Alligator mississippiensis: one gene and its partners. The protein of the gene in region 2 binds, or shares a complex with, the protein of the main gene of each other region. Links are inferred from orthologs where the notes say so. Each region holds a gene or a part of one and is shown on either strand. Other genes may lie near its edges.

What was found.
Region 1: the proteins of cytochrome b-245 heavy chain (region 2) and cytochrome b-245 light chain are in contact, whole or in part, in a cryo-EM structure (PDB 8X2L), measured with the Homo sapiens proteins. The link is inferred for Alligator mississippiensis from reciprocal best matches to the Homo sapiens genes CYBB and CYBA. Residues at the interface, in NP_000388.2 of Homo sapiens: Thr116, Ile117, Leu120, Phe121, Val123, Glu124, Asn128, Asn133, Lys161, Asn162, Pro163, Gly166, Leu167, Ala170, Val180, Thr183, Leu184, Ile187, Leu188, Thr191, Ser192, Thr194, Lys195, Thr196, Ile197, Arg199, Ser200, Tyr201, Glu203, Val204; in NP_000092.2 of Homo sapiens: Gln3, Ile4, Glu5, Trp6, Met8, Trp9, Glu12, Gln13, Ala16, Ile20, Thr23, Val27, Gly31, Phe33, Thr34, Gln35, Arg56, Arg59, Met65, Gly102, Phe103, Leu104, Leu105, Ala106, Ile108, Leu109, Ala112, Cys113, Ile116.
Region 3: cytochrome b-245 heavy chain (region 2) and NCF2 share a complex: the UniProt entries of both Homo sapiens proteins name them as parts of the phagocyte NADPH oxidase complex. The link is inferred for Alligator mississippiensis from reciprocal best matches to the Homo sapiens genes CYBB and NCF2.

The regions. Positions count from the first base shown.
Region 1 is NC_081833.1:75,249,138-75,252,882, forward strand, and holds the start of cytochrome b-245 light chain, read right to left. Parts: upstream 2,662-3,745; 5' UTR 2,600-2,661; coding exon 2,542-2,599; intron 1-2,541. UniProt on the Homo sapiens protein: Subunit of NADPH oxidase complexes that is required for the NADPH oxidase activity that generates, in various cell types, superoxide from molecular oxygen utilizing NADPH as an electron donor.
Region 2 is NC_081824.1:306,491,448-306,495,192, reverse strand, and holds the start of cytochrome b-245 heavy chain, read left to right. Parts: upstream 1-1,451; 5' UTR 1,452-1,793; coding exon 1,794-1,838; intron 1,839-3,745. UniProt on the Homo sapiens protein: Catalytic subunit of the phagocyte NADPH oxidase complex that mediates the transfer of electrons from cytosolic NADPH to O2 to produce the superoxide anion (O2(-)).
Region 3 is NC_081828.1:54,297,139-54,300,883, forward strand, and holds the start of NCF2 (neutrophil cytosol factor 2), read right to left. Parts: upstream 2,953-3,745; 5' UTR 2,767-2,952; coding exon 2,593-2,766; intron 1,761-2,592; coding exon 1,678-1,760; intron 1,015-1,677; coding exon 906-1,014; intron 1-905. UniProt on the Homo sapiens protein: Subunit of the phagocyte NADPH oxidase complex that mediates the transfer of electrons from cytosolic NADPH to O2 to produce the superoxide anion (O2(-)).

The DNA of each region.
Region 1 (3,745 bases), on a different chromosome or scaffold from region 2:
AGCACATGCATTACACAGACACTGTACATACACACTCACCCCCTGCAAGCACACATATACACCACACAAACTACACATATGCACACTCCAAGTGCACACAAACCATGCACACATGCACACACACAAGTGCACATACACTGCACATACACCACACACACACACACACAACTGCAAGCACATGCACACAAATCACAAACATACACTATATATATACTGCATACACACACACCCTGCAAGCACATAAACAAATCAAGCACACACTATGCATACACTACATACACACACACCCTGAAAGCACATACCACACACACACTACATGCACACATGCCCTGCAAGCACATACACATATCACAAGCACACACTACACATACAACGCATATGCACACATCCTACAAGCACATACACACATCACAAGCACACACTACACACACACTGCATACACACACACCCTGCAAGCACATACACACATCACAAGCACACATACACTGAATACACACACAACCTGCAAGCACATACACACATCACAAGCACACATACACTGAATACACACACAACCTGCAAGCACATACACACATCACAAGCACACACTACACACACACTGCATACGCACACGCCCTGCAAGCACATACGTACATCACAAGCACACACTACATACACTGCATACACGCACACCCTGCAAGCACACACACACTGCACATAGCCTACACACACATGCTCACACACTGCACATGCCCACCCACACACAAGGCACATACACACACAATGCAAGCACTCACCACAAACACACATACACGCCCACCCCCAGCTGCAGCTCCCTCCCCCAGGGCATCACCAGGGCCCGGGAGGCTGCCATCAGCCTTCCTGGTAGCACCAGCCACAGGCCCGGGCGAGGCTGCGGTGCCAGGAAGCAGGAGCCCACAGGCACCGGTGGACGGTTGGCGCTGCTGGGGCTGTTCCATTGCAGCCTCTGCTACAGCAATGGCTGTGGGCAGACGTGGTCCCAGCGACCTCAAGTCCACAGCTGTGGGGGCAGCCAGCCGGCCTGGGGGAGAGCGCCTGGGTGTGCATCCCCTCCAGGATGTCCTCCTGGGGCAGCTGTGCTAGTGCCACGTGCGGGTGACTGGCACTGCACAAGTCCAGCCTTCATCCAACGTGGGCAGGAGACACCTCCAGTTATCCAGGACCCCTGAGCATGGTGACAGGGATGGAGCTGAAAGCCCAGGTCCCACAGCAGGACATCCCCAGCGGGGACCCAGAGCTGCCAGTCTGCGCCCAGCTTCATCTGCACCCAGCGCCAGGGTCTGCAGCACGTCCAGGCTCCTCTCTGGGGCCAGCTTGGCCAGGAAGGCGGCCGTGTCGGGGTCAGGCTACTGCCAGACCAGCACCTATTGCACTGGTGACCCCAGTCTGGCACGGTCCCCTTGGGCACCGCCTGGGCCGTGCAGCCGCAAGGCAAGGAGGTCAGCTGGGCATGGCCTTTCCAGCTGGGCTGCTTGGGCTTAGACACGATGGATGTGATGTGCCCCCGGGTGGGTTTTGAGTGCAGTGTAAGCTGGCCGGGCTCCCTGGCTTGCTCAGGGACAGCCCACGCCTCGCTCACCCTGTCCATCGCATGGTTTGAACGTGGTGCCAGCACAAGCTGGGGGGCAGAAGGGGAAGGAAGAGCTTTTGGGCCTCCTCCTGCTTACCCCAGCATGCAGGGAGGAGCAGCTGGGAAAGCCCTGAGACAGGGGCACAGCTGGGCGTGCTCAAAGTGAAACCTGCACTTCCCCCTGCCCCCGCACAGGCCCTGGGGCTGCAGCGCAGGGGGCGTGGGTGCAGAAACCCGCCCAGGTGGAAGCCAAGTGCCCCTGAGCTCCCGCCTGGGGGCACGGAGAGGGGCAGGGGCAGGGCTGCTGGCGACTGCTGCAAATGCGGAGCAGCCCCAGCTCCTGGATGAAGGAAAAGGCTCCCCAGGATCCGGGGGAGCCCAGATCCCGGTTCCTGGGGGCGTCTCCGGGCCCTGCCCAGGGCCACAGGCTGTGGGGGCGGCTGGGCGCTGCGCTGAGCTTTCTTCCCCATTTCAGCCAGGCACTTCCTCAAAGCCGGGGCCGGGGCCCAGCTCCATGGGGCAGGGGGCATGCAGGGCCGTGGAGACCTCCCTCTCAAGCCACTGCAGCCCCCAGCCTGGCCCCCCTGCCCATCTCCCCGGCACCTCCCCAGCCCCCCGCACCCCCCAGCCTGCCCAGCTGCCCCAACCAGCCCCAGCCCTGCCCCCCTGCCCCTCTCCCCTGCACCCTGCACCCCCCCCAGCCTGCCCCCAACCAGCCCTGCTCCCTTGGCCCCCAGCCTGCCCAGCTGCCCCCCAACCAGCCCCCAGCCCTGCTCCCAAGCCTGTACCCTGCACACCCCCAACCTACCCCTTTACCCCCTGGGCCCCTGCCCCCCAGCCAGCCCCCAGCCCTGCTGCCTTGCCCCCAAGCCTGTACCCTGCACACCCCCAACCTACCCCTTTACCCCCCGGGCCCCTGCCCCCCAGCCAGCCCCCTGCCCCCCACTCACTGAGGCCGGAGGCCAGCGCCTGCTCGTTGGCCCACATGGCCCACTCGATGCCCCCCATGCCCGGCGGACGCCCCTGGACACACTGTAGCAGCCACTTCCGAGATGGCAGGCTCCCGGCCCCGCCCCCTGCTTTGCATAATCCACGCCCCCTTCCGGGCTGGCCCCGCCCCCAGGCCTGCCCCCAGGCTCTGGGTTCCCAGCAGCCAGGAAGGTCCGCCCCCCCCCCCCCGGCAAAGGGGGCTCCCAGGCCCTACTGCCTCCAAGGGGAAACTGAGGCACGGAGGGGCAGGAGCCCAGGCCCGTTCCTGGACCCTGACGGGGCTGCCCGTCTCCTCCCCGCTGGGAAAAGGGCCAAGAACCAAGCGCCCAGGGAAGGGCCTGAGAACCAGTGGGGGGAAACTGAGGCACAGCGCGTGCAGGGACTTGACCAAGAGCAGCACGCTTGTCGGTGGCAGGGAGAGGCTAGAACTCGCGTCCCCTGCTCAGGATCCAGCCCAGGCCTGCAGGTGTGCCCTCCCCAGGCAGGGATTTGTACCCACTGTTCAGACCAGCCCCTAGAAAGCCCCTGAGGACGGGGAGGCTTTCTCCTCCGCCCCGTGCTGGGCCTGGACTCTGCAGCCCCCACGTGCAGGCTCGGAGCCGCTCACACGTGGCACGACAGCAGCCAGAGAGACCCCAGGCGCAGGGGAAGGAAAATCCCGAGCCCTGCCCAGAGCTCACAGGGGGCAGACGTCCGAGCTCGCCACGAAAGCGCATGCGGCAGCGAGCCCTGCTACCACTACAGGACACGGCCAGTCAGCCGCAGCTTCCTCAGAAAGGCAGCTGCTTCTGGGGTGGAGCCCGGCAGCGACCGCACGCTCCGGCCAGCAGCAACTCTCCTCTCTTTGTAAAAGAGGAAGGACGTGGACAATAAAACAGCCGCACCTGGAGCGGCCCGGACGAGGCAGCGGGGCTGTTCCCAACACCGGGTAGGTGGCCCCAGGACTCGAACAACCTGCTCCGCTCCCATAGAGGCAGGGAGGAGGCAGGCGGGAAGGGAGCAGCAGAGGTCACAGCTCCTGCAACCCGGGCCGGAGGCAGGATCAGCGCTGTGCAAGCCACCCCGGACCCCTCCATCACCTAAACTCTCCACCCCCCTCACCCTGGCAGGGTATCAGGAAGGAAAGCCGAGGCAGGCTGGGGTCAGAGCCATCTATTCAGCGCC
Region 2 (3,745 bases):
GAAAGCTGTTGCTGCAGGAATATGCAAATTTTGTGCTTAAGTCTCTCCTATTCTAATGAGCTATTTTGCAAAAAATTATAAAAACAGGAAATTTCAGAGCCTACATACAAGTGAGGGCTTTTTTTTTTTTTTTTAAATGATTTTTTATTTCACACACTCCTACATTATAAATATTAATACACAGCTGGCACTTACAAGAAAAATACTTATGGGCACAATTGTTTTATTATATTTTTAACAAAAGCAAGTTCAAGGAATTCAAAACACAGACAACACCTTACGGGGGGAATTTTCACTTGTTCAGCAACTGCAATGAGTAGGAAAGGACCAGGAAATAGGCCAAAGGCTGTGAGAGGAGCAGTTTTATGGTACCTTCACACACCAGTTCTCTCCTGTGACCTACCATAAAGGTAAAACCCTGTTCTCACTGAAGTCAGTGCCTGAACTCTCACTGTCCTGCATGGAGCTAGACTTTCACTCATGGATCATGACGTGCAGGAGTGGCCAAGATGTCTGCTTTTTGTATAGAGTAACTGAAATTCATTTACCTCTTCTGCTTCCAGATGAATTTGCAATTAAGGGGGTGTGCTGCGTGAGAGAGATACCTCACGGAGGTAGAGTCACAGCATGTTCTGCTGAGCAGTCACTTGTGTAGCTACTACAGGTTAAAGGCATGATAGACAGGTTGTCAGACCTTCTGAAGAGAAGATCTTGGTACTGGCTTATTGAAGTGGCTAATATTTTTTCAGTTGTTCAGTTTCTTTTTCTATTAGAATCTTTGATACTTCAGAGACCACTTCCAGGTAGAGCAGAAAGGAGGAAAAAAAAAAAAAAAAAAAAAAAATCAAATAGTCTAAATGTTTCTTTTTTCCTCATCTCCATGGGTATAAATTTGTTGGGTTAGAAACCACACCCTCTTAACCTTTTTTCATCTTTGACCTCACCACCAGCCCCTTTTTTTCTAATGCTAATTTGTACCAGATAAGGACCCTTCAGTCCATATACTTCTGATAAGGGATCATTTAAAAACAACTGCAACCAAATGTGTGTTTCACTGTTCTTCCTGGAAACGTTGTGGATCATAAGTTCATTCAGTATTGACTCTGTAGTACTGGAGGAGTTCAGCAGCTCTTGGGGTGTCTTCTGGTGAGAAAAACATTTGGAGTGAGAAGGACATTGAGACCCTTACATACTCAAGTAGCTTGAGGAGCTGGGACGGTATGAAACATGCCAGCTATGACAAGGGCTGGAAATCTTTTCAGACTAACTGGCAAGGAGGGGAAAATGTCTACAGCATTGGCTGAGGATTCGAGCTGTGAGCTGGTGAGAAGAACAGAGATGCTGATGCATGCCTTGCAAGGAAGGAAATGTTAGGTAAGCCTCTGAAGGCTGTCCTGGGGTACAGGGCAATGAGAAGTTCCAAGAATGATTAGTTAGGAGGTAAGGAATGAGCACCAGGATGTAGTGATGAACAAATGAAGATGTTTCTCATTGTTCTAGAATGGGTGTGTTGAAGTCTATAAAGGCAGCAATATCTTGCAGTGGAAAAACCCTCCCATGATCTCTTTAGAATAAAAAACAGTATTATATTGGGAGGAGACTTAATTGAGGTGTCAAGACTTCAGTAGAAAATATAACAAATCACTGAACCATACAGTGGTTTCAATTTAACTCTATTCTAAGTGAATGACAAAGGAAATAGTTGCAGCCAGGCTTCTGTTCTCACTTCCTTCTGTGAGAAGATACAGATATTTCCTCAGCAGTAAGCCAGTACACTCTCTGTTCAGGCAACCATGGGCAACTGGGTAGAGAATGAAGGACTCTCCATTTTTGTTATTGTAAGTACAATCCTTTCTTGCAATTTATTTCTGATCACACATGCTGATTACTTGATGTTATTTCGTATATGATCCTGTGAAAAAGGGTGTTATATAGCACCTGAAGAGAGCTGTTACTAAGAGATTCTGGGTGAAATCCTAGTCCTGTTGGGGGGGGGGGGGGGGAGGAAACAAACAAACAAACAAACAAGGGACTTAACTTGTATCTTTTGTGCCAAGTCTCATTTAACTTGCTATAAATATGAATGTAATATAGATATAAAATGTCTGAAATCAAAAGAGCAAGCAACATTTAAATTTTGATATAAACTGTATACATTTTTTAAAAAGCCAACCTAGCAAATGATGGTACAGTAAAAGGCTTTTGAGAAGCAAATGCTAATAAAGCTGAACTAGATCACGATGTACAGTGCTCAGTGACAAGATTATGTGGGTCAGCGTTGCAGATTCCAGGATCCTGTATAGAGACGCACTGTTCACTTTCATGGCAGCTTCATGCAAACTTCAAGTAACGTGGTGTTATACTAGCCAGTATGTTCCTTTAGCTCCAGGTAGGTTACAAAAAAGTGGTTGGAAAGTAATTTGTGGGTAGAGGAATGGAGTCTGGCATATAGGGAGAAACGGTTAGTATTTGGATTCCCCTGCGCGCCCTCCCCCCCAAAAATGCATGTGCTTGCTCTAGGAAGCCATTAGGTATTTAGTTTTGTATTAACAAGATGCATAACTAAGTTAACGACTTGTCAAATTTTGTTGAAGCCGACACAAATACACCAATAGGAAAGAGGTGATTATAAATGTTCTCTGTACAAGAACTCAGTATTACCTGAATTTTAATAAGTATATTATTATTTCCCCTAAAGTAAGAAAAATTGTTTTCAAAGAGTTATTTGAAATATAGAAAGTAGTAAGGGAAGATGAAGAGAAGTAGTAAAGGGAACTCTTTTGCTAGAGGGTTTGAATGGAAAAATGTTCTGCTTTATTCACAGCTACTCTACAATACATTAGTTGCGCATCAAGTTCCTAATGCAATATTAAGAATTTTTCTAAAAACTTTTTTCATGGAGCATGTAAGGCCTAGGCTAACTGCAAACTCCTTTACAACCACAATGGTGGGCCAAGGAACACTGCAGGAGTTACCCCTGAAGCCAAAGGTTAGGTATAAAGGAAGCTGGTACTACAGTTTGTCAACTTTGATTATAAGCATAATATTTAAAGTTTACCCCCCCACCCCAATCTCCCTGCTCTACCATGTTTGTGCACCATTAGCCAGGAGCAGCATGGTGCAAACTGTCCGCAGTTTAGAGCCATTTCACTGTGTGGCTTGAAGTCCAAAAGCAAGTAGCGTCAAGCTAAGGGAAATGTACTGACTCAGTGTGATTGGGTTGCAATGGGAGGGCTGTTGCAGGATGGCTAGGAACCCTCCACCACACCCTTGTTTTTGGCACAACCCACAAATGTGGATCTGACCAAAGATACGCAACTGAAATGATATTCTAGCCGTTAATAACAGGCACCAGCAAAAGTAGATGCGCATGGGCCCAGTGTCACATGGATCTTGCACAATCACATAGCTATACCTATGCATTTAGGCAAAAGAGGACTCAATTAGCTGCTGTAGGATTGTGGCTTATTTTCTCCATCTCTCCGAGCAAACTAATCCCACACCCTTTAGCAGATCTAGCCTTCCTTCCAGTACAGGCCAATGCTGTATAGGGCAGTTACACTTAAGGAAGTATTTAGCACCCTTAAATAGTAGAAAGCTGTGAGTGAGGAAAACATTATAGAATGAAAGAGCAGATAAAAAGATTCCCTTTGGTAAACAAAACAAAACAACCTCCCCCCACCCCCAAAGCCTATCAACCCTTACTCTCCACAGAGAAAAGTCAATCTCCATGAAGTTAGAGTAG
Region 3 (3,745 bases), on a different chromosome or scaffold from region 2:
CACCAGCTAATTAATTAGCTCTAAAGTTACTAGTCCTAGGGACCAGCCTCTAATTTCTTCCATGCGAGCTCTGAAGGCTGAATGTTGGCTTGTCACTCATATATGAGGTCAGGGTGCAGTGGTGCACCCACTCCTTGATTCCTGGCCCACCCAAATTTTAAAGCCAACTGCCTGGCAGGTGCAGTAGCAATGAGGGAGTCAACTGACTTCATGGCTCCTTGTAAACTGCCTGATTCCTTCTATAGTCTTGATTCTGCCTGTTTCTCCTTTTTAAGTCTCGATGTTCCACTAATCAAGCTACCCTTTCTTCTGTAGTTCTACTGTCTGTTAGCTGTTTTTAACTCTATCTAAAAACACTAACTCAGCTGTAGAAATGTTAACTCGGGTGAACGTTTATTCAGCTGTATAAGCAACTTTCAGTGAAGTACTGGATGCATTATCAGGATTCTCAAGAAGGCTAGATTTTGTTTTATGAATCTGAAAAAATATACATTTTATTCTAATAGCTAATGTTGCAGGACTAATGCAACAATATCTTTGGATTATTTTGGCCAAGTTTGTTGTGTTGTTTTTTTTATACAAAGTACATGATATATAGCAAATTAATGCATGTTGCAGTTAAGTTATATTTGGTTTTGCTTTGATCTTAAATGGAATAATATAGCCCTTAGGCCCTTAGCATATTAGTAAAGTCTCTAGTTTCTTTTTAACTGGAGAAATATGTGTTGCGTTATATTTGATGTATCACCTCCCACCTTTTTCTCTTCCTATATGGAGGCCTCATGTCTGAGTTACACCCACTGGCTGTGTGGCATTGGATTGCAATATATCTTCACCACTTAACTTGTTCTGCTTCATGGATAGCCTTGCTTGTTTCAGTGTCACATTTCCCGTATGCTCCTTACCTCACAAGCAAACAGCCTGAACTGCAGCCCCAGGATCTTATAGTCTATCAGCAGGTTCCCTCGCAGCTGAGCCAGTGCTTCTTTAAAGTCTTCGACTGCTGAATCATAGCTGTAAAGCAAAGTTAATAATCTGTCAGGGTCCACCAAGAAAAGGGCAGGGCCTTTTGCTGGCTGGGCTGCCTGGTGCCTTTCAAGAATGCAGTCTTGTTCTCATCCTGAGTCACTTGGCCAGCTAATGACATGCCAGTAGCCTTTTACCACAGCCCAAGCCCTTCATCCTGAGTCATTCTTGGGAGAAAAGAGGCTGTCCAGATCTAGGCAATTGTGTTCTGACTCTTCATTGGCCAATTGTGCTTGCCAGTCTCAAGGCTTTTGAGTCTGTTACCTGCATCTGCTTTAGACCCAAAGCTGTGACCAGTGTTAATATTATTGTGTATCATTTATATTCTGGTTGTGCCCCATCACATTAGGTGCTGTGTACACTCCCTTTTGTAAAGGTTTCTTATATAGGATTTAGCTAATCCTCTCATTGCTTTTAAACACACACTGGGAAATTTCCGAGGCTCCCAAGAATAGTCTTCATCCGTAGGTTGGGACCACTGCTAAGCATGAGATAGTATTTACCTTGTTAGGTGCGTTCTGGCTCCAGTTACCTCTGCAGCATTCCAGCATGACTGACTTGTCAAAAGGCTTCTCTGCCAGTCAGGGAAACAAAGTTTGACTTTTACACACCCACCCACCTCACTTCCATTAGGGAGTTTCCAATACTTACTTTTCTCTCTTGTAAAATACTGTTCCTCTCTGGAAATAGGCCACAGCCAAGTGCTTGTCACAGTTAATACTCCTGGCAAATGCCTGCAGGGGATAGGAGATGATTCATACATGAAACCTATTCCCCAGAGAGAAGTTGCAAAGGGAGACCTGGATACGGAGTATAGGGATGGGGAGAAGGCAGCAGCTGCAGCTGCGGCTAGTGCTGCGGTAGAGGGGAGAGTGGAACAGAACCTGGCATGTGCGGTGCTTGCCTTTGACTGGTAGGAGGCATGAAACCAGCATCTCAGGAGAAGGGATGAAATGAAGGATGAAATGGAAAGGGAAATGTGGAGAGAAGGAAAAGGATTGTACCTCCTCTTTCCACCCTTCAGCTTTGGCTCTTGTGTTTCACCTGGCCAGAGGCCCATAAATTAAATACCCCCCCACTTCCCCCGCCCAGCACTGAGCAGCAAGAATTAAATGAAGTATGTGACCTATTGTGCTGTAACTGTCTCTTCATCCTGCTCAGGACAGGTCTATCAATTGCTGGGCCATCCTCCCTAATAGACCATTAGTCACTATGTGGCTGCCTGTTGGTGTGAACCGCCAGGTTGGCAAATACTCCATGTGGCATCATCTGGTTGGCTGAGCAGTGGCTGAGCTGCAGCACGGAGGAGTTCTTCCCCTTGCACCCAGCCAGGCCAGCTTGCCAGCTACCTGACAGGTTTGTGCCGAGTGCCCTTCAGCCTGTCAGGCACAGATGTGTCTGACCTGCGAGTCAGGCTGTCAGTCATTTCATCATCAGTCTACTTCTGTCAGTCCTCTCACTTGTCAGTGGGCCCTTCAGTCTATCTGGCAGGGCTGGGTGTGCCGCTAAGTCGGATTTGAATGTAGAAGAGGCAGGGGCAGGAGGAATCGAGATGCTCTTACTCACCTGCTCTGCCTCAGCCAAGTTCCCCAGGATCAGATGGATGGAGCCAATGTTAAAGCAGAGTTTGGAGGAGGGGTTCTGAACTGAAGTGAAGGCCTCCAGCGCTGCTCTCCAGTCCTTCTGATCGGCAGCACGTACCCCGTCATGCCATAGCTGGATCGTCTCAGCCAGAGACATGGTTCCTCAGGAGCCTTCAGTGGGGTATCTGGTAGTGCGATGGCAGGTCTCCCCACAACTTGGAGTGGCTTTTCCTTACTCTGGGCCCTCTTTCCTCTGCACTGCAGCTCGGCCAGTGCACTTCTACTTGTACTTCTGTATTCCCTCCAGCACCCACACAGTGTTCAATGTCGCAAACTTATCAGGAAGTGTCTACACTTGCCAATGAAAAACAGCCCTGCTGAGATGGGGAAGTACAGCAAATGCTGGCTGACGTGAATCCGAGCAGCCCCTTGCTGTGTTATTATAAATCCTCCTCCTCCACCCACGGCTATTCGCCTCTTTCGGTTTTTTTTTTTGCCTCATGGGATCTATAATTTGAGGCTTATGTTTGGCATCGCACTGCTGTCAGTGTAGTCACAGTTGAGTCAGAGTTCATCAGTGATGTGGCATAGAGGAACTGGGGCATGAAGAAAGAAGGTCCTGCCATGTTCCTGCAGCCGTGTTCCTTTTAAAGGAAGCGCGCACGCTCTTAACTTCCAAAGGCAGCACCTAGCTGCAGGCTGGTTGCTGATGGGAATTCCCCAAAACCTCTGTTGAGAGCGAGAACTCAATTAGGCTAATTATGCAAATGCTCTCTTTGATTGGAGGGGTCTGTCCCAATGCTAACCATTAGCCTTCAGCCCAGCTCCAGGTAGCTAAATATTAATAAGCTCCCACCAAGAAAAATCACAGACTCTCATGAACCATTCAACAGCCCGACTATATTAAACAGACTCAGAGAAGATACCAAAACAACAGGTACGTATGAAAAGTGATTAATACAATTATACACAATGGCAATTACAGGACTATATACACAAGTTGGGGGAAGAAACAACATTTTGAAGGGTCACAGCTAGGGACTGCACTTCAGACAACGCCTATCTCACTTAACCACATACAACACAACTTACAACAATTCTCAACAGCAGCAACAGCAAGTAAACCAGACCAGGCC